Linked DNA regions of Coturnix japonica. The protein of the gene in region 2 purifies or fractionates together with the protein of the main gene of each other region. This does not show direct contact. Links are inferred from orthologs where the notes say so. Each region holds a gene or a part of one and is shown on either strand. Other genes may lie near its edges. The genes, in order: DHX15 and NUDCD1.

The links.
Region 1: the proteins of NUDCD1 (region 2) and DHX15 purify together in Homo sapiens (co-immunoprecipitation; 3 studies listed by BioGRID and IntAct, with this or other methods). This does not show direct contact. The link is inferred for Coturnix japonica from reciprocal best matches to the Homo sapiens genes NUDCD1 and DHX15.

The regions. Positions count from the first base shown.
Region 1 is NC_029519.1:66,730,275-66,734,098, reverse strand, and holds part of DHX15 (pre-mRNA-splicing factor ATP-dependent RNA helicase DHX15), read right to left. Parts: intron 2,655-3,824; coding exon 2,505-2,654; intron 2,356-2,504; coding exon 2,247-2,355; intron 1,171-2,246; coding exon 979-1,170; intron 1-978.
Region 2 is NC_029517.1:119,473,459-119,477,282, forward strand, and holds part of NUDCD1 (nudC domain-containing protein 1), read right to left. Parts: intron 2,315-3,824; coding exon 2,129-2,314; intron 676-2,128; coding exon 492-675; intron 1-491.

The DNA.
Region 1 (3,824 bases), on a different chromosome or scaffold from region 2:
AGAAATTAAAGATTCTGCCCTGCCCATCTGCTCTGAGTCTGAACAATCATAACTCTGCAACAAACATTTTAGCTTGCTTTTTAAAAACTTTCATATAAATACACTGTAAGACTTAACCAAAGCAGATTTTGAACTCAGATTTTTTTCTAATTGTCCAAGTCAAGCACATAACCAGCAGTACAACTGCAAAGAGCCTGTTAAATAGCACACCCTGAAGACATCGCAGTAATTATGAATACAGAACATCCTGACTTTCCTAAGAACAAAATCTTGCTGCTTGTCCTAGAGAGACCAACTATAAAATGAAGTCAGTTCTATGTAAACTGAGCAATGAGATGCAAGGCTTGCTTGACAACATCTTACTCTCCAGATCTCTCTTGACAAGCAGCTGTTATGACAGGGCTATTCACTTTATGCAAGGTACAGCTGTGCACACAAATTAACTATTAAAAATATACACCCTCCCCCAAACTCTCTTTCCTTTAGAAGTAATGAATGCTCTTTAGCTTCCCAATAAAATTAATCACTAAAAATCTTATCACGTAGAAGTTTAGCAGTTCAATATAATTTGTGCTCTAATTCTTTTGGAAATACTGGCATGTATCAAAGTGCAAAGAATACACAATAGAGAATAGATTTCACTGCCGTAAAAGCAGAGTGGTTAGCCAGCATTTTTAGTCCTGATTATGAAACTAAAAATAAATTTCCATTCCACTAGATCGAAATTTTCTATGAACTCAAATAAATGTATTTTAACTAAAAGTTAGTCAAAAAGTTTGATCCTATCTATGCATGCTGATTTCTTCACTTTAATGATTATTTGCTGCAGGTCTACAAGCAAACCCATAATGGATTAAATTTCTGACAAATCAGTTTTTAATAAAAATAACTTCAGATTTCTTATGCTTTTCACGCGGAAAGGTCAAACTTCCCCCAAACTCAAGATCTGCACTTTGGTATCCCTTTCCTTAATATTACCTGACAACATGGCAGTAATAGATAGGACCTCATTAGAACAGTTGTAGTCACAACTTGCAATAACCATTTTAGCCAGTTGTGGGTCCAGTGGAAATTCAGCCATCATGGATCCCAACTCGGTCAAGTCTCCATCATCATTTAAAGCAGCCAGATAATTCAAGAGCTCTAAGGCTCTCATCAGAGTTTCAGGAGCTGAAAGAAATATTTAGGTAGTTACATTAATCAAAGTGCAATGAATAAGCAAGAATGAGAGTGCACAGATGACCTTGTTTTTCACTCTCCGTTCAGATGGCTTCCAAACACAAAACTGTTACCAAATCCAATCATAAACACCCAGATATGAATCAACTAGTAGATAAAAATCGCTAAAAACAGCTACTAACTGGTTCAAAGTCTCTGAATATTTGAAGAGTACTACTTTCCAAGATTCAAACAGCAGAGGCATTGTTAAATATTCACTTAGTAATATCAATTGTCTCTGACATCTTTCTTATTCGCAGAAAACAAACTGAGTACAGTCCCAGAATTTCAACCACGTACTTTAGATATCCATGTTCTTCCACAATCTGAACTTTTAAGAACTTCCCTGAAATCTGCATTTCTTAGAGCGAGAGTACAGTACACACACACAAAAAAAAAAAAGAATCCAGACACCTGCTAAGTTAGCATACAAACCACAAAGCACTGCACTGCATTAACAAAGAAGTTCAGTGAAACTGCTTAAATGCTTATATACGTTAAGTTTTTATTTCAAGTAGAAAAACTCAACCAGCTTTGATGTATTTATAGAAAGCCAATCTGTGAGTTTAATTTGCAACGCAACCTTGTTATTTTCAAGGTATTTCTAACATTTAATACTTTTACAAGAAAGATATAGACTAAGCCAAAAAAGCATGTATTCAGCTTTAAAATGCTAGCCAATTTTATTTACATGCAGTTAACTGATGTGCAATTAGAAAGCGTAATCAAGGTGATGAGTAAAAAATTCACTCAGCAATAGATTTTTTTAATGCACATAATTTAGCCATACCCTTGTAGTTAAGAACATTCAGTAGATTTCCACTTTCCACTGGAAGCTCTTAGGCAAACAGCGTTATTAAGAGAGTTGTTTTGTAAGACACAGCACTAAATAAACAAAGATGTTCCTTTTGGATTATGATAAAAAGTGGGAAATAACATTTTACATCATTGTATAAAATATTCAACAAAATTAAAGACTGCGGAAGTTGTCTATGCCTGTAGCAGACAAGAAAATATGGAACAAATACCTGGAGGATCCATAAAATCAAAGTGCACCAAATCGTCTATACCAAGCTTCTTGAGCTGCAACACTACAGATCCCAAGTTAGACCTCAAAATCTCAGGGTACGTGTTATCCTAAGGGAAGGAAAAAGAAAACGTACAGTACTGTGAACTTTGGTCCTTGGAGGAACAAGCATTCAAATTTTGATTTTGCTTGGCAGCACAGCAATTGGCTACTTGGATCAAGTGCTCTTACACATGTACTCCAAAAAGAGTAATCTTACCTGCATTTCAGTTTTGTAAGCCTTCTCTGTGTACAGCCTGAAGCACTTGCCTGGTCTGGTACGACCAGCACGGCCAGCTCGCTGCTGTGCAGAAGCTTTACTAATTGCAGTCACCAAGAGAGACTCCACTCTGATACGAGGATTATATACCTATTTCAAAGTGGAATAGGAGCAGAAAAAGGAGATGAATGAATATCACTCAAGGTAAGACTTATCTCAAAATAAAGACAGCTTTAAATTTATTTTCAAATGCAACTTTGGACGAGAAAAACACAAGCTGTATGAATCTGAAAGGAAAAAACAATTTTGGCTACATAATTCTTTAAATCAGTTGACAAAAAACCTCAATAGAACTGCCTAGAAAACAGCAGTTACTTTTAATTCTTTTATTAACATCATCTCCTGCCAGGCTTCCCATCCTACTTAAATGCGTGTGTATTTTTAGATAAGAATTTCATGGCAGAACTAATGTGTCTAATTTGTTCTACAGAGTGCTAAACACACTCTTGATGCTCAAGTAATTCCACGCAAAAACAAGTTGTCTTGACACAATTATAAGGTTGAATAATTGTGTTGCAGAGGTCAGAGAAATGTAACGTTAAGGCTTGAACGCAACTGTAAAATCACACTGATTATAAAGCAAGACTACTTCAGGGCCACGTGTAGACTTTCACATGCAGTCATACATAAACAGCAGCTCACCCCCAGGGTTCATGAAAAAGATGATAAAGCAAAAACAATCAACTTCAGATGAAAACATCCTCTGGTTCATGGTTTAACACCCTCCTGGTATGAACAGGTATAAACAGCAATCAAAACCTTCAGTTCTTATTACAGACAGCATTCAGCCAGAAGAGCTGCTCACAAAAAGAGTTACGCCTAAGTGATGATTACAACTCCTGTATGGAGCTGCATCACCTGTACTCACATTCTATTGTATCTCAGACCACAGAAGAGAGAAAGTCTGACAACATGCATGAGTGTTAAAGGAAAAGCCTTTAAGAAACCAAGTTATGAAGACAGTTACCAGTAAAAGGACTCAATTAAGTTTAAAAGACTAGAATTTTGTTCTATATTTAGTTCTTGGTTTGACTGCAGGCAATCTACTTCAGTTTTCTGAAGATTTTCAGAGGTGCGAGAGCTCCCAATAAACACTGACAAGAAAAAATACTAGCCTGGGTAATTTCTTCTCTCTTCTCACTTTAGAGCTAGTTTCCCATGCTAACATGATATAAACAGGTAACTTCTAGCACCTATTTCACTTACTTTCAGTAAATCAAGTAACTATGAAATTCACATTCCACACCTAACTTCAAATCC
Region 2 (3,824 bases):
ACAGATGACCTCAGATTAGATGGATGACCAAATCAAGTATGACTACATTGTACTGGGAAATTAAATTCTTATACAATGTTTTGAAAAGTACGAGAGATATTAATTAGAAATAGTTTTCAACTTAGATTTTAATAGACAGAGCTAAATGGGAATTTATTATTCATCCCATAATGTCGTATTATTCCTAGCTTGTTTTCTAATCGCCTTAACTATACACATGCAGAAATTGACTCCTTCCTGTCCTCCAAATGTTTGTCATACTGCAGGTCTACAAGTGAGAACTTGAATTTAAAGTGTGATGAGGGTTTTGTTGGGATGCAAACATCAGAAATTGAGGAACAATCAACATCCAAAACAATTAATGAAAGCATAATAGCTGTTTTTCTTTTGCAGTTTTTGTTTTTTTTTGTTTGTTTGTTTTGTTTTTTTTGTTTGTTTGGTTTTAGTTTTTTTCCCCTTACCTACTAATAACATAAATATAAAACACTTACCCGCTTTGTTCATCTCTACAAATGTAACCCATTCCAAAGTAATATGAAATCCACTTCCTTTTGTGTCCAATTCATCTTTTTCTACCCTGAGCAGTAGCACAGCTATTGAATGTTTATCAGATTTTACAAATGAAACACTGTGTACTATAACGAATGGACTGCCTAGTTCTTCACTAAACACAGTCTGGAAGGCAAAATGGTAGAAAAAGGTTAGTCAGTTAAAACTCAAAAATTAGTGAAAGCTTCAGAGAACATTAAATCAATTAATTAAATATGCTCGCCACAAATCACATTAACTTTTGGTTAGCCCTGAAGTGGTCACACAGTTGGTGTGTGACCTGAAGTTCTCTTCTAGCAGAACTATTCTATGTATTTCTAGCAGTTCCTTCCTTAGCTATCAAGAAAGTGTCCTTTTTATTACTGTTTATATGATAGAATCATTAAAATGGTCCACTAGATCAAGCACAAAACTCTACAAAAATATCTGCACTACAGAACAGGGTAACTGGCTTCCTTTTGACTGAACTTTCAAATTGTACAGGGGAAGGAGTTATTCCACCATGTAGAAATCCTCCACTTCCAGGTATATGTTTGACTTCCTGCCAATATTAAAAGCTCCTTGGCTGTGTATAAAACTATCCTCTAATTAAAAAGTTGCATGAAAAATGTGGTACTTTAATATCAAATTCATCCTTCAGAAATAAAGAGAAACAACAGACCAAAACTTATAGCAGCTGAAGCAGAAATGTACCATAACTACATTTGTTTTGTAGAACTAATAGCATTATTGCTATGGAAACACCACTGCTCCGTGGATATCAGAAACGCTCCTTCTCAAGATGGTTTAAAGTAAGTGATTTTGTAACCTATTTAATGAGAAACGTGCTTCAGTTACAACCACAAAGTTAAATAAAAAATACTAAGCACCAATAATTCTCCAGAGCTAAGTGTACAGCATGAAAAATTTCTCTCCCAGAGAGGTGGAAATATTACAATTTAGATTATACCTACTCTGCATAAAGCCCTCGGGGCTACTTATAAAAGGTTTTTAATCATCAGTTTTCTTTAATTTTTATTTTATTCACCATGGACACACTTTTAAGACAGGTCAAATTAAAATGATGAACATTTCAAATGCAATTACATCAGCACAAGTGATCTAGAAACCCTCTAACAAAATGAAAAGTAGCATTTAGCTTGACAATAATTTCAGGCATTTTAAAACGTACTTATTATTCCATGGGTCAGAAGAAATAATGTGATAGTGGAAGGAAAACTTAGGCTGACCCATAAGAATAGAGAAGGGAAAGGGAAAATGGTTCTTATTATAAGTTCAGCTTGACAGGTGTGCAGTCACCTATTTAGAAACACTCGCTCTCTTCAGACAGATTCTTTTCCCGTAAAAAGGCTGTTTGCTGTTTCCATTCAACCATTTGAATTTTACAGATTTTTTTCTTTCACTTCAAGAAATAATTCACATGATCTTTATGTTTGGACACAGCCCAATATCAACCACAGAGTTAAGATTGAAAGCTTCGTTTTTCATAACATTATATGCATGCAATTCTCCTATTAAGTGCAGGAGTAAGAATTATTTGGTAAATATACAATTCTTAATGTGCTATTTTAAGACTTACCTCCCATTTTTCCGATGCACTGTTTCCACGCTTGCCTGACTTAATTAAATATAGTCTTCCTGTTCCATCAGAAATGGTAACCCATGTGGAAGATGAGAAGTACATTGAGGCACAAAGGCGATCATCATAAGCTGTCAAATCTGTAGGTAGCCTGAAAACTTCTCTTGGTTTTTGGAGAGCAGTGTCCTGTAAGCAGAGTCACTTTATGAAGTACTAATCAATTTCAGCATTGCAGAAAAATGAACAACAAACTTCAACAGCAATTCACCAGTCAGCTCATGTAATTGAGCCTATTAGGAAAAATGTAGGTAGCCAAGCATCACTTCCACATATGAGGAAGAGGTGGTAGAATTTCAGTATTCAGTCTGTTTACTGAAAACTTAAGTGTTTTATAATTGGTATTTCAACACCATTTTTTTCCCTTCAAATTCACAGCACTAATTTACATTTTGCATTTAAAAGTTTTTTACTTCTTTTTTCCTAACATTCCCATAGAATTTATCACTCACCTCACAGTTTTAATCCCACTAAGAACCTGGAGACCTTAAATGAAATAAAAGCCATAGAAATGTACAAAAAAAAGTTAATTTACACTGACTTCTAAACTAAAACAAACTTTAACCCTCTTTCTTACTCAACTTGTGCACACATATACAACACAGAAAGACCACATTCGTGCATACAAGCATGACATAGACTTGAGACTATCGTATTAGAGACGATTTCAAATCTATCGTATTTTCCAAATGGTATTAAAATCAGATATGCATCTAGAACATGTTCAAAGTAAGGCAAGCTAAACTGGATTTGGGTAAGTACCATTTTAATAAGCATCACTGAAAAAGACCAGATGACAAACAGATAGCCTGACTGTCTTCTGGATCTACTTGAATTTGTATTAGAGATTACTTTTCTCTACGACTCTGAAATCTGCAATAGAAAAGATGCAAATTAGATTTATAATTTCTAGTAGCATTCAGGATCACTCTGTAGATTCAGTTGCATCACTACAACCCTTCAGTTATTCACCTAATTTAGAACACATTCAGAAAGATTGAATGAAAGAATTATAAACAAAGGAAGAAAAAAAACCACACTCTACACCCAAGCATTTCCGACATCCTCATTTTCTGCTTGAATTTCTTAAGGTTTTACTGAAAGGCAGTATTTTCTGATATTTCTTACCATTCCATGGTAAGAAGTGACTGATGCGAATGGGAAAAAAGAACGAAAATTGCGGAAAGAAAAAGCTTCAGCCCCAGAACTACAAATTACAGGCATATTCTATGCAACACCATAGAAGACCACACTTCTGACAGCCTTCAAGTGAATCATAACAGTAAGCTTCAAATAGTTATTGATGTAATTGTGTTTTAAAGAACTATCAACTGTCGATCATTTAATCTTCTAAAGCCCTCATTACACTTATCAACACTGAAGTGGAGTGACAGGAGTCAACAATTCTGAAAACTTTAATTAAAAAAGTCTTCACATCACAAAGCCTCCCAGCTCAAAGGAAAGAAAGAAAATGCTCTTCTAATCTTCCTTTTGCTGCTCACTAGTATTAAGTAAGTCTGCAGATAACACAAAAATGGGAGGAACTGTCAACACTTGAAAGTAAAGAGAACTTGTAGAGAGCTGCTGACAAATTAGAAGGCTGGGCAATCATCACCTATATGAAGCTGAACAAGAGGAA